3 linked regions of the Drosophila melanogaster genome follow. The protein of the gene in region 2 interacts with the protein of the main gene of each other region in a pairwise test. Each region holds a gene or a part of one and is shown on either strand. Other genes may lie near its edges.

Evidence for each region. The genes of interacting proteins can lie anywhere in the genome.
Region 1: the proteins of Drep1 (region 2) and MtnA interact in a two-hybrid assay, tested with the Drosophila melanogaster proteins (one large-scale study listed by BioGRID).
Region 3: the proteins of Drep1 (region 2) and Dus1 interact in a two-hybrid assay, tested with the Drosophila melanogaster proteins (one large-scale study listed by BioGRID).

What each region holds. Positions count from the first base shown.
Region 1 is NT_033777.3:9,781,597-9,787,473, forward strand, and holds MtnA (metallothionein A), read right to left. Parts: upstream 2,775-5,877; 5' UTR 2,650-2,774; coding exon 2,628-2,649; intron 2,364-2,627; coding exon 2,263-2,363; 3' UTR 1,811-2,262; downstream 1-1,810. Other genes in the region: CG12947 (uncharacterized protein), read left to right, coding at 101-631, 690-884, 944-1,161; CG8500 (uncharacterized protein), read left to right, coding at 4,311-4,481, 4,539-4,724, 4,781-4,852, 4,989-5,261. UniProt on the Drosophila melanogaster protein: This protein binds cations of several transition elements. It is thought to be involved in detoxification processes.
Region 2 is NT_033778.4:12,041,694-12,052,227, forward strand, and holds Drep1 (DNA fragmentation factor-related protein 1), read left to right. Parts: upstream 1-2,918; 5' UTR 2,919-3,170; coding exon 3,171-3,215; intron 3,216-6,282; coding exon 6,283-6,498; intron 6,499-6,781; coding exon 6,782-7,053; intron 7,054-7,111; coding exon 7,112-7,472; coding exon of another isoform or gene 7,473-7,499; 3' UTR 7,500-8,479; downstream 8,480-10,534. Other genes in the region: Polr3B (RNA polymerase III subunit B), read left to right, coding at 1-890; CG30039 (uncharacterized protein), read right to left, coding at 9,439-9,861, 9,914-9,934.
Region 3 is NT_033779.5:267,435-274,885, forward strand, and holds the start of Dus1 (dihydrouridine synthase 1), read right to left. Parts: upstream 4,311-7,451; 5' UTR 4,195-4,310; intron 4,193-4,194; exon of another isoform or gene 3,881-4,192; coding exon of another isoform or gene 3,227-3,880; intron 3,173-3,226; coding exon of another isoform or gene 2,024-3,172; intron 1,956-2,023; coding exon of another isoform or gene 1,758-1,955; exon of another isoform or gene 1,654-1,757; intron 72-1,653; exon of another isoform or gene 1-71. Other genes in the region: CG3345 (uncharacterized protein), read left to right, coding at 1,758-1,955, 2,024-3,172, 3,227-3,880; mbm (mushroom body miniature), read right to left, coding at 4,533-5,072, 5,121-6,200; CG11555 (uncharacterized protein), read left to right, coding at 6,552-7,217.

The DNA.
Region 1 (5,877 bases), on a different chromosome or scaffold from region 2:
AACTGCGCTTTACTTGACGTGTAATGTCTGCTATTTGGAGCAGAAACACTAATGGTCATTAAGCACACTGGTAAACCCGCTTTCCACATCCAATCCCCAGCTCCGCGTCCCAGCCTGGCCAACGGCTTCAACTTCTTTAATCGGAACTTCTGGAGTTTCGGCCAGCAGAGTCTGGTGGCAGTGCGTCCGCCCACCAAGCAGGCCCATCCGCCGAAAAAGTTTAGTCCCAAGGACGAAAAGTCCGGCCAACGAAAAGTGGCCAAGACCACTAGGAAACCGATGGATCAGAGAACGAGTACAACTAGTCGAAGCGCAACAACAACTAGCACACAAAAACCCACTACAGATGGACCCTTTCGCATTGCACTGCCCACCTTGAACTTCCCACGCGACAACCAGGATAAGAACAGGGATAGGGAAACGGAGAAGGGCAAGAGGTCGGCTGCCGAGCTGCGCTTGAGGTTCGATTGTCCGCGGGAGAACGAGGTGAGGTTCCAGCTATTCCCCAAGATCTGCAAGGCGGATCGAGACTGTGCCGTGTGGCAACGGGATGAGCTGTGCTGTGATATCTTTGGAGCAAGCAGCTGTGTCTCTGGCGTTCCAAAGCCGCTAGAGGAGACTCCACATGCTCGTAAGTGGGTTTAATCCTTAGCTGCTATAGATATTATTCAATTTATTGCTCTTGCTAGCCATTCTGGGCTTGATACCTCGCAAGTGCCCGAGTAGACCGCTCGCCGAGCTCTGGTGGGACGTCCAGGAGTGCTCCACAGACATGGACTGCTGGCCAAGGGTCTGTTGCCCGGATGGGCGTAGGAGATACTGCCGCACCTCGCAGCCGGAGTTGGAAACAGCTCCAGTGCCAGTGAAGCGATCCTTCGACTATCGTAAGTTAAAAGTTTTCCGTATGATAACCGAAATCAATCGAAGCCTTGCGCTTTTCCAGTTACAGAGTACCTGGAGTGCACAGCCCCGCCGCCGCCCATCTTTGACCTTCATCCCAAGGCGTGCACCTCCACCTTGGATTGCTTTCCGAATGTGTGCTGCCAGGAGGCGGGACTGCGCCACTGCCGGCCGCCCAAGAAGTCCGTGCTCACACTGATGGCCAACTTTCTCAACGTGGACTTCGTGAAGCGACTGGCACAGAATATCGTTATCAAGTAGGGCGAACCGTGAATTTCCCACTATTTTTCAACGTGCGTCGAGCACCTTCGACAGAACCATTTCGAAACCGCCGTGAAATCTCGCCCGGGTTTGTTTGGCCACGCTGATAACCAAAAAGAAGATATGCCCACACCCATACCATTCATAGACATACATATGTATGCACCTTTGTATACTGCGCACCCCATCCATTCGTAATTCTCCATTAAGTATTGTTCACCTAGCCTAGTATTAGACCTAAGCTGCATTCGTAGGCTAGCAAAGTAAATAAAGTATATATGTATGTATACGAACCATAAACTCCATCTGCGGCTTTTCCACTGGAGGTCTGAGGTGGAGGTCTCCCGTAACCCTACGCCTCCTAGGTCACTTCACCCGACTGCCGTGGGGTTCTTGTTCTTGACTTATTTCGTTGGTATATCGTTTATATGCCGGGTTCTTACACTTTCATGTTAATTGCGCGATCATATTACATCTAAAACTATATGGCACTTTTGCGCTATAAACGAGGCATTTCACAAAACAGACTGAGCAATAATAAGTCTACAATCATATATTTCTATGAATCACCTATAAAATAATGGAAGCCGATTTAAATATGAACTTTCATTACCCATTTCGTTGTTATGCCTAAAATCGTTTTAAATTTGATAGGGTAATATATTTTTATTATTTCTAAAGCTAGTATTCTTTAATATTATCCATTCGATAGCGGCTATATTCTAACGCCCGCAACTGTATTTTTATCTACAAGTCATGAGTTCAAGCCGCTGTGCTTTGAAACTCAATCCCTCAGTCGCTTCAGAAGTGAGGCATCTCAGATTACCATATTGCTCAACTGACTTTAGTGTTATGTACATATGTATATGCACATTGTGGAAAACACTTGACCATCCCATTTCCACGACGCATATTGCCGACCACGTAGCTAGAAGCTACCTCCAATAAAAGCGAATCTAACCTAGAATGCCGCAGACCAATTGATTATGCAACCCGAAAAGACGCAGTTAGGCATCAATTACTTTAATTGGACATTTATTGCAGGGTGTGTAGAGAGACAAGATGCAGCGCCTCTACTCCAGATCTTTTTTGGGGGAAAGCTCACTCGGAGCAGCCGCAGGCGGATTTCTTGTCGCCGCCGCACTTGCAGTCAGATCCGCAGTTGCAGGATCCCTTGGTGGCCTGGCTGGCGCATTTGCATCCTGGAAAGAAGTAGAATTTAAAAATTAGTACATGCTGGTACATCCTGTAATCCATAAGCCATATAACATTAGTGTTCCATTTTATAAAACGCAGTTGAAGAACTTCTTTTCTTAGAGAGACGAACTCAGAGATTTCACTTTGCAGATAGTTTCAGCTTGAATTTTTATACTATTGAATCACCATTGAATTTTTATACTAGTATAATACCATTTCTCTGAAAGATCTGTGATATCCTAAAGGATCACACCAGACTGCGAACTTACCGCTTCCGCATGGGCAAGGCATCTTGATTGAGTTGTATTTCCTCGAACTTGTTCACTTGTTTACAAAAAAGGTAGGTATGGGCTATTTAGGCCTTTAGTTGCACTGAGATGATTCACTTGATTTTGCTGCTGACCACAACTGATGCACATTGGCCAGATGCTCTCGGTTTTATACATTTTGGAAACGCGGCTTTACACACGGGTCTTTCGTTCGATTCACCTCTTTTGCACACGCCGGCCGGCTCCAAATTCGAGTGGAGACGTGTGCAGAAGCTTTTGTTCTGCCCGCGAAGAATTGGTTCGGTTCTCCACTTTGGGGACTTGTATGGGATGCAAAGCTCTTGGTGGGGCACATGGGGCATGCGCAGGCACTCTTACTTGCGTACCACATATGTATGGGGGTGGCGGTGGGCGGTGGGGGGCCGGAGTTCTGGGTCTCTTATCGGAACCAGAGGATAGGACGGCCTGCAGCAAAGAGCTAGTCACATCGGGCACCACATCCTGTCCTGCAACGAATTCCAGTGCAACGAAATGCAAGTAAATACTGCTACGCAATAGTTGGGACTCCCACAGATCCTTTGGGGCCATCCCAATTAACGGGTATATGGATGCGGTGGCCATTACTGGCTTTTCCCTCGATTCTCGCGTGTGGGTGGCAAGTGCAGTGCAGATAAAATCGATAAATCCAAGCCAAAATAAAGCGAGGAAAATCCAAGAGCAAAGCGCGTGAGGTGTACGAGGTGGAAAAAAAAACACATACAAAACAACGAGTGTGCGGGAAAACAAAACGTCGGAAAATCGCAAGGCGAGTCGGTTGAAGGGGGCGGGCCAAAGGTGTCACACGGGTCCACCAGGACAATCAAGCGGAAGTGAGCAGTTACGGCTAGTGTGTATTGTGTGTGTGTGTGTGTGTTTGGGGGCGGATGGGATAGAAAACCGTTCCGAATGGGACACTTGTCTTCAAAGCAGGCCTATTTATACCGCACCCGGTCATGGGCAATCATAATCGTGGCGATAATGATGAGGAGAGGCTGGTGCCGATCAGTGCCAGTGGAGCGAAAAATCAATACCCTTCCTTGCCACATGTCTAAAATTAGCGGGATACTCTCACACACATTGTTTGCCGTTATTAAATATACTATTAAAAAGGAGTTCTATCAACTTTGATAAGGAAGTTGTAAGTCAACCAAGGAGTTATGCGGGTTTATATAATAGAATCATATATAATATAATCAACTCATTATCAATTTAAAAGGTTCTTAGAGTTTTTTAGTGTAAAGGAATATACATTTTAAAACCAATTCAACTAATAAAGTGTGTTAACATGCCTACTAGTGTATATCACCATCGGCTTTCGGAAGTTAACTTTCTTTCGCATTTTGTTTTTGTTGCGGGACCCTAAAGTGGTAGTGCCACCCACGCCCACGCCCATCACGTCCCTACCACCCACATCCACCAACTGGCGAACCGGAAAGGTTGTGCGTGCGTGGGCGTTGTGGCCAAGCTGATTTGCTCTTAATTGTTGCAGATAAACGAAAGCATGGCGCCCAAGTAGAACATTCCACCAGCGCCCGACAGCAAGCCAACAAGCTTCAGCTCCTGCTTCTCTCTATTCCGATTTCCACTCCGAGTTTGATATACGCGACCGCGTTCGACCCACTCGAATCCGTATCGGTAACCGGGATGACGGAGCAGAAGAATCAGGTGACGCGCGCTGCACCGGAGCAGAGCAACGATTACCGCGTGGTGGTTTTTGGAGCCGGCGGCGTGGGCAAGAGCTCACTGGTGCTGCGCTTCATAAAGGGCACGTTCCGCGAAAGCTACATCCCAACAATCGAGGATACGTACAGACAGGTGGGTGGGACGCCTGGTGCTAGAGATTACTCACATAATCCGCTGGTCTTCGCACAGGTCATAAGCTGCAACAAGAACATCTGCACGCTGCAAATCACGGACACCACGGGATCGCATCAATTCCCGGCTATGCAGAGGCTGTCCATCTCGAAGGGGCACGCCTTCATCCTGGTCTACTCGGTGTGCTCCAAGCAGAGTCTGGAGGAGCTGCGACCCATCTGGGCGCTTATCAAGGAGCTGAAGGTTGGTCCACTGCCTGACAATCATTTCTCATGTACTAATACGTTGTGTGTCCACAGGGCGCCGACATTCCCAACATACCCGTAATGTTGGTGGGCAACAAGTGTGATGAGACCGCCGAGTTGCGAGAGGTTAGAGGATGTTCCATCTGATCCGTCATATACATACATGCTTAATCTAAGATCTAAGTTACAATCTTCAAGGGGGATTTTAAACAGAAAAATCATCTCTTTAAGAAAACCTCTAATCCAAATGTGCCATCCACAGGTCTCCCAAGCGGAGGGTCAGGCCCAGGCGACCACCTGGAGCATATCGTTCATGGAGACGTCGGCCAAGACGAACCACAATGTGACCGAGCTGTTTCAGGAGCTGCTCAACATGGAGAAGACGCGCACCGTCTCCCTGCAACTGGACACCAAGAAGCAGAAGAAGCAGAAGAAGGAGAAGAAGTCCAAGGACACGAACGGCTCGATACCGGAGAACGGCGATGCGGGGGCCAGCGCCAGCGGCGGGGCCAAGGAGAAGTGTCGCGTTATGTAAGCATCGGATGGCCAAAGAGCCAGATGGCCAGATGGCATGGCCATGTGACCCGGGTCACATTGCGTCGAGCTGAAGTGAACGGAGACGACGGTGACAGACAAATACTCGCCTTGGGGCAGCACCCTTGGGTGGGGGGTTGCTGGCTTAGGTAGCCACCCACACGGGCCACGCCACACCACACCACACCACGCACCGCACACACCACTTACACCATACCACATACCACACACAATCCCCACTTTATCCACATATAGAGTTACATGCATAACGAGACACTTGTATTTAGGAACTGACTGGATAAGTCGCACCACGATTGCAATTACGATTACGAGTATATTTTGCATAGGTTATATATTCTATTCGAGCCGATCAGATCTTTCTAGTCGCACAGAGACACGATACCACGTACTGCATACATATATACATATATACTAATCCAAACACACCACGGAAACTAACCCTAAGTTTGCACATAATCGCATCTGAAACGTAACGGCATACATATCAAATGTTTACATACTTACATACATACTGCATGATCCATCAGCCATTCCATAACCAGATATCGAAACGAAATCGAACGAAGCTATACACTAATATCTCTAATGAAAGCCAA
Region 2 (10,534 bases):
TAACATCGATGAATCCGCTGCAGGGTCAGTCTGCACAGGTTCCCTACACCGCAGTACCCATTAGCTATAAGGGTCCCGAGCCCAGTTACATCGAACGCGTTATGGTTTCCGCCAATGCCGAGGAAGACTTTCTCATCAAGATCCTGCTGCGCCAGACACGTATCCCCGAGATCGGGGACAAGTTCAGCTCTCGGCACGGACAAAAAGGCGTGACTGGGTTGATTGTTGAACAGGAGGATATGCCCTTTAATGACTTCGGCATCTGCCCGGATATGATAATGAACCCACACGGATTCCCCTCCCGTATGACAGTGGGTAAAACGTTAGAGCTGCTCGGCGGGAAGGCTGGTCTCCTGGAGGGCAAGTTCCACTATGGAACTGCGTTCGGGGGCTCCAAGGTGGAAGACATTCAGGCGGAACTGGAGCGCCATGGTTTCAACTACGTGGGCAAGGACTTTTTCTACTCCGGCATCACAGGAACACCACTGGAGGCCTACATCTACTCGGGACCCGTGTACTACCAAAAACTGAAGCATATGGTGCAGGATAAGATGCATGCCCGTGCCCGGGGACCCAAGGCGGTGCTCACCCGTCAGCCGACGCAGGGCAGGAGTCGTGAGGGTGGCCTTCGTCTGGGCGAAATGGAACGGGATTGTCTCATTTCTTACGGAGCTAGTATGCTGATCATGGAGCGTCTGATGATCTCATCGGATGCCTTTGAGGTGGATGTTTGCCGGACTTGCGGCAGGATGGCCTACTGCTCCTGGTGTCATTTCTGCCAGTCGTCGGCCAATGTCTCTAAGATATCCATGCCGTATGCATGCAAACTGCTCTTCCAGGAGTTGACCAGCATGAATGTGGTGCCGAAAATGATTTTGGAAAACTATTAACGATGCAATGGCCTGAAACCGAATAAAATAATTGTTATATAATAATAATGGTTAATGATGGAAACTAGCTTAGGTTTTCCAATATTTTTGTAAAAACGAATGGTGTGTGAACTCTGGCAAGGGCAAAAATCCTACGCATTCATTAAGTTTCCATGACCGCGAGCTGCAAATGTCAAAATGAAGAGGTTCAAACGAAGTCAGCGAAAGAAAGTCCTCTTGAATTTTAACGAGGTCCTTTTGCATATCAGCTTTCTGTTCGTTAACAGGCAGACGCAAGCTGTTACTGAAAAGGACTGAGCCGTGTTAAATCGCTTATGTTATCCTTTTTTTTTATTGCGCAAAGGATAATTAGTTGTGTCTGCCCTTTTGGCCGAATTTAAAACGTCTGTGTCTGGACAAAAGATTAAGTTGTTAAGATGAAATGTTTTTTGTTATTCTGTTTCTTTGTTTGCTCTTTGTCCTTATAATCCTCTATCTTATGTGTATTTTGTTTTTTGGCTCAGTTAAACTAAACATTCTCGAGCGGCTTGATGCTTCTTAGTAAAACCAATATCGCCAGGCGTTGATTTATTGTTTTCCCTCGATATTGCCTATTGCCTGATTGCCCGTGAGGCAATTACCTGTCACCTGGCTTCGAGGTGGAGCTCAACCCAGATTCCGGCCGATGTGTCAACGTGTCCGTGGTCAATGCACCGCGGTGCATGCACGTGACCTGCGAACTGCAGGCGACACAGCCACCCACACAAGCCAATGTCCTTGTGCGTCCTTTCGAGTGACCTGCGCTTAAAATAGTCACAGCTACCACCCACTGCTGCTTCTCCTCCGCAGGACACGTAGAAGTTACTATGTGCAGTGCAATGACAGCAAACGGGGCAAACTGCCAGCAGCAGAAGCAGCATCAGCATCCGAGGAACCAATGGTGCGCACTAGGATGACAATTTAAGGCTGCCCCATCTCTGATCTCCCCCATACTTGCATGCCCACCTCTTTTCCGGGCTATTCAGTACCGTTTTATACGTGGAAAAACTTTTGAGAATTATATAAAGTTAGTTGATATTCGTATGACTAAAAGAAAACTACTCATTCCTATTTATACCTACATACCTTTATCCTTTATGGAATCCATTTGCTCAATTAGGCGCTGATAAGTATGCAATAAGTTATAGTTTTTATTAGTTTTTAGTATCATAACAGAATCTTTATTTTTCGCCGTGCACAAACTGATGAGAACCCAATCTGGGGCCACCTTCCGGCTTTGGCTTTCCTTTCATGTATTTTGGCCATTTGTCAAAAGTTTGCTTTTTGCTCTTCTTATCTGGACGGTTCGTTGATGTGTGCATGGCAATAGATGTATATAGATTTAAATGGGTGTTGGCCACTTGTGTAGAAAGTTAAGCGTAGTCCAACTGCTCTTTTGGCCGGGTTCCAAGCGGGCGAGGGGATTTCGAATTGACAACACCGGATATCATTGGGCTGATAATGCGCAACCCCTCCCAATGGACTAATTGAATCCGAAAGCACCTTCCGATGGAAATAGAGATTAGATTGCTGGAATCACCTTAACTTTTCAGCCAGGATTGTTCCAGCAAACTCTTTGTGTTTTCTAGGGACTAGGCCACAGCCAAATGTTAACATATTCAGCGAGAGAGAACGTGTTTTTGACTATGTTTGTTTTCTCTTTGTAAGCTTTATGTTTCAATATATTTAAAATTCTAATCTGTTTAGTGTTTTCTTTTAGAAGCACATTATTACCTATTTTACAAAAAATTGATACAATATTAATTAATTAAATAACCAAAATCTACAGGGAATAATTTATAAAAAAAAAAATATAAAAAAAAAAAGTGTTAGGCTTCAAAAATATGTTTACTTATCATGATTAAAAAGAAACATGGCCAATAGGACATAAAACAAATATTATTTGAACCTATCAGTTAACATTCATTTAAAAGCGAGCACTCGCAGTTCGAACTCAACATCTGTTAGAAGCCCTTTCTCTGCGTATAAAAGGCAGTGCTTTTGAGCAAAACGCGCTCATTTCAAAACCGGTGCTCATCGCAACGAAAGCTCCGCTGCGGAGCCGAGAAAATATTGTTAATTCCCATTTGAAGTGCAGCTTGTGGAAGGAAATTCCAAGTTTGTTTGTTCGGACGCCGAGTGCAAGTGCAAGAAGCAAGCGAAAAGTAATCAAATCTATAGAAAAGTCATTTAATGTGGAGCAATTAAGCCTGGAAATAAAGTGCATAGTGAATAAGTAATTTAGTTGGAGCAAACAAAGCCATGGAGACTGCAGCGAACTCGGGCGACTCCAAAAAGCCTTTCAAAGTGAGTTCCCCCTGTAATTGTAAATGGAAATAAAGGCCGCAGACGAACAATTGCATTTTAAGTGCATGCATTATTTTCCTGGCATGTCCATTTTTGGGCGTTGTTGTTTTCGCCTTTGTTGTTGTTGGCCGCGTGCTGCGTTCGCTACTTTTTTTCCTTTTTTTTTGGATTCTTATGGAAACTGGGTTGAACTTCAGAACTCAAGAGAGCCAAAAGCTCAAGCTAAGAGAGTGCCGAAAGCTCAGTAATAAGCATTAACTGCCTGAAATTTGACTTTGCAAATTCAAAAACACTATTTAGTTGCTTTCTTTCTCTTTGTCCTTTTTTTTACATGTTTGTCTAGCTTTGCATTTGCCTTTTGATTCGAGTATTGGGAATTGTTTGCCTTTAGCATTTGTTTTACTTGACTGCTGGGCCATTGTTTCCTGTTTAATTTGTTTATCTGCCGCTTAAACAGCAGAAAGCTGTTTAAAGTATTATGGGGATGTAAAAAACGTGCTTAAGGTTGCAGAAAACCACTGGAAGTACATGCAGCTGACAACTCAAAGGAAACCAATAAACCACAAAGCTATTTAAATTGTCTGTGAAACACAGAAAACAACTTTCGTAAAACATGACTGGAGATAACATCCAGGAATTCCCTCCCCCACTTTATCCATTAAAATGCCGCTCCTTATTAAAATATTTAATTCAAAAACCACCAAACGCAAATCGGCTTAAAAGCTGTCAAATACCATGACAGCCATGAAAATGCCATTAAAAAGGGAAAACTTTTCATCCCGACATGTCGCTGTAATTAGCCAACAGCCACGCCCACGACCCGCCTCAGGCATTTTGTTAATAATTTATTAAACAATCTACATAATGCCGCGGCATAGTTCAAAAGCAATTTAAAGTTGTCGCCTAATTTCCCCAGCGACTCGAAAATCTGCGGCCTACGCCCATCAAATATTAAAATGTCCTGCGACTTGTGGATTCTGCCCGCATCTTGGATGCAGATGATAGAGTTCCTGGCACGTCTCCTTCGGCTGCTCCTAAAACGGAGCCAGACGCCGGAGGTCGTTGCACGTTCATCTACGTACGTATGTGTGGACCAGGACCCTCGGGTCCTGATGGCTGAGCAGCTCGAGTTAGTTGAGATTTATAAGCCCTCAACTCGCTGCTGCTCTACCAATTTGCCCAAGTCGTTTTGCATACACTTTTGTGTATAAACTGGTCTTCTAGAAAAACACTTAACTGATTTCATCTAGACTTTCACATACATTAGCCTGAACTTGTAGTGATGCTAGTTTGGAAATTTGTATCTTAAACAGTAGCAAGTAGGTAACATTTGTGTTTGCTCATTTCAATATTTAAATATTATTCTTATATTTAAATATTAAAAAATAAAGTTTTACTTACCACGATGTGCCAAAAATTTGCTCTTAATGATATAACCTAATAGCATTTCCATTCAAGAAACAACTTGAAACACTTTTGAAACATGTTTACTTTCCGAATAAATCTTGTTTCTGATTTGTATAAGCTTTGTATAATTTTGCGGGTAATTAGATAAACTGCTAATTGAATTGCGACCGCTTGAAAAATCGACGCCACTTGAAAAATCAACTAATGCGATCGACTAAAACTTTTGACAAGTTTCCGAACAAAAACTATGCTTTTGTTTTCGATGCTGCCGCGACTCCCACTTGTCAAATGCGCCAGTAGTTGGGCAAAGTTTTCATTGTTACAAAGTTCTAGCCCCACACGCCGCATTCATGATATGATTAATATTTGGAGCTTTCGCGGCACAAAAGTTATGTGGCTTTAAGTATTTATAAGATAATTTAGGGACGACCTCCTCCGCTATCTGAGCAAATGGAATTGGGATGATAGAGCAGCTAGGCGCACGAGTAAAATGAAATGTTCGAAATGCAAACTCGAGTACAATTTCATTTAGTCACGGTGCTCTCAAATATTCATGAAGGACCTCAAGGAGTTGCACGCTGTCCGACGTTTCGGGGCTATAAATTCTGGGTGGAATGCATTCGTGCCGCTTGCTCCCTTAAAGTTGCGCCTCCTTGAGCCTCCATCTGGACGGGTCTAATTTATGTTTCGTTTAACCTTAGTGCTGAGGCATCATTTAACATCGCATGCAAGTTTAATAGAGCCAAAGGCTTGCGTCCTTCGTCCTTGCAACCGGCGAACAGCACTAACCTATGGCATTCGCGAAGGAGCATGCAGCATGAAGAATGCTGACATGCATAACTTGTCAAATAAAAAGAAAATTTAAAAGGATACGCCAGGGAATCGGGGAGTGGGAGATAAACGACAAATATTTGCACCGCAGCTGCTAGAGTGCATGTCAAACTGCGTTCGAGATCTCGAGCAAAAGTAGAGGAGCTCATGGAACTCGGCATTCGCAACTGAAATATGCACAAAGTCGTCGGGCTGTGGGAGGCACTTTAAGGTGGTGACATCCCCCACCGGGAAAAAGCCGTCCATAAATCTCAATTAGAGCAAATGGACATTTGACAGCAGGACATGACGTGGTCGCAAATATTGCGTTCATTTATTCATTGCGATTTTTCGGGGAATGGAAAACAATCAGCGTCGAAATGTGGTTGTGTATTTATTATTTAGCAACTTGCGCTACTATTTATCTTTTCTCTTTGTTTAATGGAATTTTCAAAGATTGCCTAATTAAATAACTATAAAAACAGGGTAAAGTTTGCGTTGAAAAGAGAAACAGACTGAATAATTAAGTGCAAGCGGGAGGATAATGAATAAATCAGGCGGAAAGTTTCCATAGTTTCTCCATTCCGTTCACGTTGTTGTCTCAAGAAAAAGGGTGCAGCTAAAGGAAAATTTACAACTTTTCCCATTTCGATGTTTTTCCGTTTTCTTATTTTGGGTGCCGACGATGTGAATATTTTATAGGACCTCAGTTGTTTCCCATCTGACATTAATTTATTATTCATTTGATGAGCGGGGCCATGTGTAACTGCTACTGTCTCCGTAATTGCAAACGTGTAATGGTTTATTATTCCCTTTTCCCGGCACTGTCCTTCTGCGTTTTTATGGCCAGGTCAAGGACGTAACACGCAACATTAAGAAGGCTGTCTGCGCCTCCAGTCTGGAGGAGATCCGCAGCAAGGTGGCGGAGAAGTTCGAGAAGTGCGACCACCTGCCCACCATCCACCTGGACTCCGACGGCACGGAGATCGATGATGAGGAGTACTTTCGCACCCTCGACGAGAATACGGAACTGGTGGCCGTCTTTCCCGGAGAACATTGGATCGATGTGAGTAGCCCTTAAATAAAAGGAAAAGGAAAACAGGCACTTAAAAATAATTATATCAGCACCTTTTTTATTTAAATCACCTCAATAAATTCGTTTTGCGATTGTGTAATTTTCATTTCTCAAAGTGAACACCGCTTAATTGGATAGCTCATTTTATGTGTCCCTCCTTTTATCTGCCATAATGACTAATTGCATTATTTCTTGAATGCCATGAAAGAGCTCCATGAGCATGGGACCAAAGCCAGGAAGATTAAATTAAATGCTATCTGCACTCTGTTTATAGCCCACTCACTACGTGACGATAACCACTCCACATGGCAACGAGGCAGGAACTGGAAACGGAGAGCTGAACGGAGGAGGCGAGGGCGACACCACCGATGCCAACAACTCGGAGTCGGCTCGCATCCGCCAGTTGGTGGGCCAGCTGCAGAACAACCTCTGCAACGTGTCCGTGATGAACGATGCCGATCTGGACTCACTCTCCAACATGGATCCCAACTCGTTGGTGGACATCACGGGAAAGGAGTTTATGGAGCAGCTCAAGGATGCGGGAAGGTGAGTTTAATTCCTTTCCCATATACCACTTAATTGTAGCATGATTTCATGACTTTAGGCCATTGTGTGCCAAGCGGAATGCCGAGGATCGTTTAAATCTGCTGAAGCTATTGAAAGCTGGTGCCATTTTCTGCTCGGAACGTTATCCCGAGGATGCGGAGGCCATTGACCGGGAGATTGGACGGCAGTTGAACGAGGCGGAGAGTGGACAGATGAGCACCACAACGACGAGCAACACCCGCACCATCGAGGTGGTGCAGTGCGACAATCAAAACACGACGATAACAATTACGGTGGGCGAGGCCACCACCACTTGCGCCACAGCCAGTGGAGCGATGGGATCCTCCGCTGCCGAAGCGGCTGCCAATGAGGCCAATGCCAATCCAAATAGAAATCCAAATGCCAACGGCGACATCTGACTGCCCATTTTGGGCAGTCTTAGGTAAAGTCTGCCGGCGGAAAACTAACGCAACTGGGTGCGCCAATCAAAATCAAGAGCCAAAAGGATATACCGAAGACATCAGTCCTGCAACATTGGGTTAACATAAATCGTATTTGTAGCATGTAATTAGGCACTGCGAAATCAGCAAAAACGAAACGGAGACGAAATCAAGTCATTGAAAATGCTTCATAGTATCTAAGAGCAAATGAAAGTTAACGAACAATACACGTACTAGATTTAAACACCGGGTCACGAGGCTCAAGAGAACAAGAGGCCCGCGCAGATTTGAAAAGTCTTTTAGCAATCACAGTCAGCGGAATCGTATTTAACCGCATATACACGAGTCACACCAAGCCGTACTAGATGAATAATAATCAAAGGTTAGCGAAATAAGTATTATACTTGAGGTAGAATCCCACAACCAGAGCGAACCCCAATTGGATGGAGTTGTCCCAGGAAACTGTTGATTTGCTTACCGTGTAAATTGTGTTACGAATAGTAGGTAGAGTGGAAACGCACATCAAATATTGTTTTTAGACCAATGCCATTGTGAATGTCATTCGTTAAAGGCCAATTGAGACTGACTGAATTTATGTGTAATAGGTTTTTTCGTGGTTTGAGCGGTTCGGGAAAGATCGGATGGAAGCCTCCAGCGCTGCTGCCCTGTCCTCCCAGAATCCCCGTCTTCCCGCCCCCGAATCCATAGCCAAATGAATTTAAGCGACAGCGCAAACATTGTTAGCTAATTAAACAATAATGGAACACAATAACGCAAATTGCAATTGCCCAATCAAAGTTGGTAACTGTAACTGTCTACAATTCGAATAAGCAATAAGGGAAACCGTAAACGTAAACGAAATCTAAAACCGAATGCAAACAGTGAACAATTATTAAATATAGTGAAAAGCATACAGTAAATGCAAGTGAAAACCCCGAGGCAAACTATATACACGAAACCAAGTAATAAATAAATGATTATTAAACTAAAGTTGATTGAACTAGCATAACTGGCAAACGGGGCGTATGCGCAACGCACAAAGCGTGTGCAACAGGGCGTATGGACTGCATCCTGCTCTTCCGCTGGCAAAAGAGAGTTTCCCCTTCCTTCACCGCTTCTTCCATTTCCCTTTTTTCCAGTTCGAGAGAGCAAGAGAGTGGGAGTCCTACACCTGCTGCTGCCATATAATTGCATTACTCGACGCCATTCTCTTTTGCCATTCAACTTCCTTCGTGACGTCACTGCACCATGACGTTTGCAGGTCCTGGCTAGCTGATTGCGATGGCCTACTAACACAGTTCAAAGCTCCCGGGTGACCCAAATTCGTGACGACAGCGCCCCACAGCAAGGGTCTCTTTGTGGGCGTGGCCCTGGCTTTGATGAATTGAATCCAGCGTCCTGTGGCCTTTGCATACTCAATATCCCCTACTAACACAGCACATCCCTTTTTCGGTTCCCATTCCTTGGCTGCTCTTTTAATTTGCGCCCTCGACGATTTTCATCCTGCTGGCAGGGGAAAAAAGAAAAATCATGGGGCGAAAAGTGCCCAAAAATATTAAAAATGTAACTGAAAATCGCTTTGACTGCTTTTGATGTGTATGATGGCATTTACGGTGGGCTGCCTGGCCAAGAAATTGTCACACACACTTGAGTTTGTAATTCTTTTGATGTTGTCCTGCAGATTAAGAGGAAGTGCCGGAAGAGGAAATGGAAACTTAATCGAAAGCAATCTGAGCTTCGAGCGAACCGATTTTGGTCCTTTGAATAAAAAAAGACTCTTATTGAAAATTATTCAGTAGTCAGGCATTTTATTTAACAAGTCTAGTACGAATAATTTAGATAAAAAGTTATACAATTAGTTAGAAAATTACGTTCAAGTAAAAATCTTAAGACTTCATTTCAAGTAAATTTTGTACGTTTGTTTCCTAAACGTAGACAACAATTTTTAACACGGTAATTTCGAACGCTTCATAGGTTGCTTGCGGTAAGCACCACCAAGTACTTTTCTGGACGAGATCCGTTTCACCTTGAACAATCGACCATCTATCTCGGCACATGAGAAAAACTTGGTGCGGGCCGGAAAATAGATCGTGACAGTTCCGCACTTGGTACAGTTCACAGCGCGATCTCCGTAAAGAGTGCTTTTCCGTTTATGGATCCTTGCCCTTTTCCTTTTTTTCACTGATCTCGATGCTTTGCATTCTGGCTGCTTATATTTATGTTCCCGATTTAAAATCCTCGAACTACTGCAGCGCTGGGACTCTTGAACCTCTTTGGTTTCTTTCACATTTTCCTCAACGTTTTCAGGTGATTGCGGTAATGGAGGACCTCCTTCATCAGTTGCGGCTTGTGTTTCTACACTTGGAAGCTATTCAATTGCGTGAAATTCGTGTGTACGTTTGTGATGTGTCAATACTCACCGGAAAATTTTCTTGGCTCATTGTTTTGTGATATTTATCATCTACGACTTATCGTTAGAACGTGTGATTCGTAGAAAGGATTGTTTGTAAATGAGGGCTCCCAGTGTTTTAAGTAAGACAATAGAATTCAATGGGTCCTGAGTTTTCATGAATCGAGAATTTCCAGGCTGCCACGTTGTATATCTTGTTTCAAATCTTTCTAAATCTTAGAAAGAGCTGCAAAATTCGATGTTTACCAATAGCTTGCTAATTCAACTTGAGCTCTATGCTCTTTTGTAGCGATCCGAAACACTCGACAGTGGATTAATTTCGGTGGAAATCAAGTCAGGTATCACCACTTTATTTTGCAAAGCATTTGACCCCCCCTTACTTATACACAAATCCACCGTCTATGACGCTTGTTGCATGCACACACACGCAAACGAACGAGGACTATATGTCCTCCAAGCACAAATGTCAAACGTCTCACAAGAAAGAGGCGGCGGTGGCGGCGGAAAGTGGGCGTGGCAGGGTAAACAACATATCGAGTGAAGTCCTGCTTGGCTCGACTTACTAACGAGTCGCTTTTCCCCCAAACGAGGACATAATTCTCAACAATTTTTGCTGCTCGCCTTTTTATTT
Region 3 (7,451 bases), on a different chromosome or scaffold from region 2:
GGCATTCGCGCTTACCGTTACTTGAGCGCACGAAAACGAACAACCGACTCCTTCGACCGACGCGACCAAACGAAACAACTCCGCACAGAGTAACCAACTTGGAAGCTCGTATCGTTGATTTAAAACGAACGGTGCTGCAGCACTCAGAAAAATAACGACATTAAGTGCAAAACTGATAGTGGAAACTGTAGTGAAACGTACTTCTTTATATATAATGCTGAATTCCATAAATTCGTATAAGTTTTATATAATATATTACATTTACATTTTCAAGTAGAATTTTTTTCAGTGCTCCCTTATGTTCGACCAGGTTTGACGACCATTTCGCATTGCTAAAGCAACGGAGTTGCTTTTTTCTGTTGTCAAACAGAAACAGATGGGTTTAAAAAACAGTGAACTATGTAAGCTAGTGTTCTAAGCTCAATTTCTCTCCCGTGGTTCGAAGTCGCTCTCAAACACCGAACCGAAAGCTTCGTCTGATTGAAAACAAAAAGCCTACCAGTTGAACGACGACGCTTTTCAATCTATAGTGGCAAGCAACCAGAGGAGGGTGAAAGGGAGAGTTGAGGACAGCTGTGTGCGGTTTTGCCGGTATTGTAAGTCATAGGAAAATTATTAGCGGGAGAGGATTTTCATTGGCCCACCAAGGGGGTTTTAAGAAAAAGGGCACCCACACTCAATTTACTTAAAATTCTATATCAGAATTTACGTTACAAGTCAAAGGCCTGAATTGATATGTGGCCAAGACATATTGTTAATAACTGTCTGCTTAGTTGCATTCAACGAATGTGGTAAACAGCCTGCCACTTATTATATTATCATTGTGTGTACCACATGTCTATAAACGTTGTCTCAATAAAAGTTAAAGCACTACTTTTGATTCCCAAAACTAACTAGCCATTTAGCCGAATGACTCACGCAGCCATCCCTAGGGACCCATATCACAGGAGGAAGTAACTATTTTGAAACGCTAAATGGAAATAGGAACACAGACGACCGCTAGCGATTGGCACGCACCTTTCATTTTCCAGCATAAGTTTGCCTGTTTTCGGATGCCACCATCATTTTTTATTTATTCCATCGGCAGCGGGGTCGGAAAGTAAGAGGGGTGTCCTAGGTGTTAGATGAAATGGAAAGTACACTCGAGAGAATATTTGGAGCACGTGCTGCAGCAAGTACATTTCAGCACTTGATGTGATTTTATTTACATGGAAGACGGCTAGTGAGAGTGGGTGTTCTTTTCCAAGGAAAGCCCTACGCAGACATGTTGGCGCCGGACCGAACGATTGGTAAATATTTATGCCCGAGATGCCCGCATCTAGAATCATCCACGGACGCCAAACTGGGTCAGCGGTCGGAAAAAGCGGGTGGAACATAAGCCCGGATAGAGACAGCGAAATATTGAGGAGGATAGTCAACCGAGGATTTATGTAAGCCGAACTAACGCCCTGGAATCTGCTGGAGCCAGGGTAATGACAGCTTCGATCCCGATTCGGCCTCTTAGGATGGGACCACAGATTCATGCAGATAGCTATAAAACGGTTGTTGAGACTGCTTAAGAATATATATATTTTATATTGCAAACTATTGACTAAAGTCAATATACAATCGGCAGGGAAAAAGTATAGAATATTGTTAAAGTAGGCGGGGCTACTACATTTTCATAAGGCACTGTTCGAAATTAGTTTTCTTGGAACGCTCAGAGAGTAAATGTTAAGCACAAATAATTTAGGCTACTGTAAGTTTAGAGCGACAAGATGATCGATATTTTGTCGCTGCCGCGGCGAAATAAGGTGTCCGGAAACCCGGCCCTGCTAAAGATGATCTCCTACAAGACTGGACTACCCATCAACAGTCTACCCGGATGGGAGCTGATCCCTCTTAATTGCAAGCTGCCAATGCTCAAATGTCCCGGCAATCAGGTCATATTCTCCAAGAACAAGATCGGACAGGACGTAAGTGCTACCAGTAGAAAATCAGCTAGAACCTTACTTTATCATCATCATTCATACATATCCACCAGTTCAAGAGCGGTAAACAGGAGTTTGAGTGTTCCGTTACCGAACACATCCCGGAGTACAATCCGCTACACGACTCCAACCTAAAGACGTTCTACTCCAATGAGCGTAATCTGAAGCGGTTGAGGGAAAACGGTGAGATAACGCAGGACAACGATGTAATATGCAATCTGAAGGACTTCAATCAGCATCGCCAGGAGCTGCACAAATCGCAGTTGTACTACATTTTGCAGGCATACAAGCGGCGCGAGTCGGAGCAATATGATCGAATGCTGATCGCCAACGCGGAGTCCATCACAAAAAAGGATCACCAGAATCTCGCAGCCCGTCACCAGTGCACTGAGGAGGTTCTTGCCAGAAAGAAACTACAGGAGCAGGAACGCCACGAAAGAAAGGTCCATCTGCTGAATATCACATATGAGAAGTTTAAGCGCTTAGAGAACCTGGCCACCATGCAGAATATGTTGCTGGAGCACCGCAAGATGCTGACAAACATGCGTGTAGCTGCCCACATAAGCATGTGCCAGGATTTGATGAGAAAGCTATTGATCAAACAGAAGAAGCTCTTCCAGTTCAAAAAGGATCGGTTCAACAAAAACATGCGAATCCTGAGGAAACAACGGCTGGTAAAGAACACTGAGCACCAGATTCAGTCGTGGAGGAAGCGACTTGATGAGCGAATTGCTAATCAGCGTAGGATCGAATACCTCCTGCAGGAGGTGGAAAAAGAGCGAGAGGCGTTTATAGACAGGCACAAGGCTCATTACAGAGAAAAGTGGCAACGGATTCAGGACGAGATTAAGGAAAGAGCTCAAAAGGCCATCACTGCTCGTCAGCCCAAAAGAAAGCGCCGCAAGAAGAAGAAGTCGACACTTCAGGAACGCAAGCCATCATTCTGCGATGAGTATCAGGCCACCTTTGAGGGATTGTTAGACAGTGATCTTTGTTACGCCTTGAATGCAGCCATTGCCATGGAGGGTCAGACCGCTCTCAGCTTCGCACCAGACGACCCCATCTATAAGGCGGCACAATATATACTGGACTACATAATTTCTGGTTTAAACGACGATCTCAGCGAGGATGAGTGTGCCTTGCAGGTGCTGATCTCGCGCATTAAGGATTTTGTCTGCGATGCAAAGAAATATGTGCACTACGTAAGTGTTAATAGCAGTCCCTCTTGACATACCACTAATTCATTCCGCCTGCAGAAAGCTTATCAGATCATTGGATTCGCCAGAGACCACAAAGCCATGGAAGTGCCTCCGTCGATGGCCAAACAGCCGAAAAACCACTCGCGCGCCTCCCATGTATCATTTAGCGGTGTAGCCAGCACCATTGGCGTGGGCAGCTACGAGATTCATCCGTTCGTGGACGTCCGCCCGTGCAGCGAACGTCGGGCCACTCCGGCGGGATCATTAGCCTCTCTGGTTGTCAGCCAGATCGGCGAACAGGTAATACAGGACAAGGTGCGCCTGCCGCATCTAAATCGCAACCAGATCGTGTTCATAGAGCACTACCTGGTGAAGTTTAAGCGGGATCTATTGGTGGGTCTGGACAAGCTGGTATTTGCAGCGATTCAGTGCCACTTTGAAAACCGTATGATGGAGGTACGAGAGGAGCTCCTTCTGCTTGACAGGAACTATTTGTTCGAGCAGATTGCCAGGGGTATCCTCAGCTATGCGGTTAATCCGCTCAACTATCAGTCGGTGCTTAAGCTGGCCGTGAGCGTCCAGTCGTGTGAAATCATCTGGGAGCTGCAGCAGACGATGCTCAAGCCAGGCATCGATCCCCGGGGCCAGAATCACCCAGTGTCCTGCGGCACCGAGCAGGAACGCGAGACCCTGGCTCTCTGCATACCCTAGGATCCTGTCAAGCAGACAGGGCAAGGAAAATTGATCTTAAAGCAGGATGCCTTAGCTCTGGCGGGAAGTAGCCCTAAAAATTACTTGTATATTTCGTTTCCGAGGCACTTACATACTTCAGAGTCCAGGAATATTCATTTTCAATATGATGTCCTAAATTTATGTACTATGTTTTCTTTTATCGTTTAAAATGCTTCCTTATAAATAAGTTGAGTATAACTTTAAAAATCAGACACCTGGATCCTTTAGTTAAAAACTCAAAGCTCTTGAGATTTAATCGTAGAAAACCAATAAATTTAGGTAAATACACTTACCCAAAAGTTTTTTGCAAAGTTTTTTCACTGAGTTTCATACGTTTTTCCTAGTAAACACTATTAATTTGATTTTTTATTCAAAAGCGTGGAAGCAACAGCTGGCAAAACACAAAACCAGGGCTGCGTCGGCTGATACATTTCGATAAATAGGTCTGCCCTGGTTATCGATATTATTCCCCGGTATGTATTGTACAAAAATTAATTCAACTTCATTCTCGTTTTAAACAACAGAGGCGTAATTCCTAAATTCCGTAAATATTAAAATGAAAGAACTAAATCCATTGGTATTGAAAATGTATTTATCTTTCACGTTCCTTTACAACTAACTCACGCTATAACTATTTAGAAAAATTAAACGGAGCTCTATAAGAATACATCATGGAGTTAAAAGGGGCGCCCGGGGCGCCTAGAAGGGGAAATGGAAACACTTGAGGAGGTAGACTGGCTGCGGCCGATACGGAGGCTTTGGTGCCTCGTTTCCGCTTCTGTTTGGACACAGGAGCTGGGTGAGGCTCTTCGCTGGACTCCGAGTCATCGCTCTCGCTGCTGTCATCTTCATCTTCGTCGTCATCTTCCTCGTCATCTTCTTCGTCATGATCTTTCGGCTCCACCTTCATCCTTTTCTGTGAAGACTTCTTTATCTTTTTTATTGACGCCTTTTTGTCCTTTTTGGGTTTTGCTGAAACTGGAGCTGTGACTGTGCCAGCAGGAAATCCAAATCCTTGCTCGCAATGAAAGGCAGTCATTTGCTGCATGGCAAACTCCACAAACGACTGGATGGCAATATTTAGATTGGGCGGGTTTGGACAGTTTTTGAGACCATGATAACTACCGGAGCAATTACGACATATCATCTGACACTGGAAGGAGGTGTGGCCCTGGAAGAGATTTTTTTAAATTGGGTAACATTCTTTTAAAATATTTACCTTCTTGTCGCATATGCCACACACATCCACGGTTTTACCCTTGTTTTTTTGCTTTCTGGCCTTCTTGTCGTCTTCAGGTTCGGTGCTTTCCTCCTCATCGGTAATGGTAAACTGGCGCTCCTGAGAGCCCATGCAGACAACATCCTCCTCGGTGTTCTTTTCCATCTTTTTACTCTTTGCCGGCGGATGACTCTGTTCATCATCGGTGTCGCTGTCCGAAGTTGAGGAGTCGGAGGACGAAACTGGTTTTACAGCCTTTGGTTTCGGAGTTGATGCTACAGGTGTTTTGATGGCCTTCGCTTTTGGGGACGGCACCACCACTGCCTTAGTGTTGACTACCATTTCCCCTGGTTCGGGTTCAGACTCCTCTCCCGAAGTAGATGACGACCTAGAGGAGTTAACCTTCTTCTTTTTAGGAGATTTGGGCTCCGCTTTGACAAATTGCTTTATTTTTGACTTGTGCTCCATTTCTTTCTCCTTCTTGATATTGATTAGCGGCACAGTAGGTTCTTCTGGCGTAACAGCCACATCAGGTGGTGCAACAGATACAGGTGGTGGTGGCGTCAAGTCCGCAGCGAAAGTAACAGGTGGCAGGCTCTCCTGTCTGAGAGAGGAGGGAGCAGGCGAGGATCGAGGCAGAGGTGGGTCTTCGGTAAAGTCCCCCACATTATCGAAGTACAGCATGTTACTTTGGCCAGGACTAACATGCTGATCCTTAGGTTGCCACGAGTTGTTACGGCCACCACGCCTATTGGAATCTCTGCCGCGGTTCCCTCGCCTGCCACCCCAACCACCACCTCCTCCGCCACCGCCTCTATTTCTTCGGCCCCCTCTCTTGTTTGGCTGATGATTATCCAGCTCCTGTTGGGGATCTCTGAACTTGTTAAACGCGTTTCCATTCTGCCCACCTTCCGATCCAGCGTCTGGCCAGTTTCCATTGGCGGCGCGATTTTGGCTGTGGCTGCCTCTTCCCCCGCCTCCACTGCTGCGCCTCTGCTGATTGTTGCGGCCGTAATTCGAAAACGGTTTTCTTTCCTCTCCTGAAAGGTTCCAGCCGGATTGTCCTCCACTGTTGTGCATTATGGAATTGTTAATATTTATAAAACCGCCTAGTTGCGGCGCACGTGTTGAGCCGATTGGGGTTATCGATAAGATCCGATTGTTGGTGGGACTGCCGAAGTGGCTTCTTTCAAGCCAAAACTGCTATTCATTATATGTATATTAAGTTTGAATACCTTATATATAATATAATATATATATATAATACTGTGACAATATGTGACATAATACATGTAATGGACTAAAATGTGAAGTGACCAATGGAAGGTTTTTATAAGATTTAACATATATAGCTAGATTCGATAGTTTCTCAAACTGGCACCTCAGATGGTCAGATGGACGATATTCAGTTTAACCACAAATAACAACGCTATGAATTCTACCAATCCGAAGAAAACAGAAGATAATGATCGCCATGAACGTCAATTGCAGAGCCGCACCAAGGACTGGGGCAAAACCAAGTTCAAGCCAAAGAAGTATGTCCAACCGAAACCAGCGCTCGTTCCACAAGCTACTGCGACGCCCTGGCAGCATGTGAAGAACGACATAATTACGGATTCTTCGGACCGGGGACACCAGGATGTGGACAGCGAGGACGCAAGGCAGTTCATGCAGCAGCGTCAGAAGAACCACCGTCGAAATGTCATAGAAGCCAACCGGTCGCAGGATACTACATGGGAGCCCTTCAACGATGAGAAGCCCTCCACGGAAAGAAAACAACAGCTCTCCACGGACGTTGAGAACTTCACTTTTAAGGAGCGGAACTTTTTCCGAAAGCAACTCACTTTGGGTTTCAATTTAACGAAAAAGAATGCAACACTTAAATCTGCCCTAAAGGACTTGAAATATAGACAGCTGACAAAGGACAAGTTCGAATTAGAACGTTCGAATCATACACGTCGAAATGTGAAATCATCAAATGCGAAAGAAGCAAAGGGTAGCCATCCCTTTCAGAAAATGCGAGATAATGCACATCCTTATCGAAAGAAGGGACCAAATAGGAGAAATCCGTTTCAGAAAGGGCCACATAATGAATAAGTTTAGCTTATTTTCCCTTAGGTGACTTCACAACCCCAACTGGCAAAACATGAAGTTTCAATTAAAAAATAAATAAAAGATTCTTTGTCGGGTGACAAATCAGAAATGTATACACAACATTACTACACACTTTATGCAAATCTTAAAAATAGTGGTACAAATACATGTGGAATAGGTCGGCGAAAATAAATAAACTAAACAGAGTTCGGCTCCTCCTCCGTTGGGAGGAGCAAG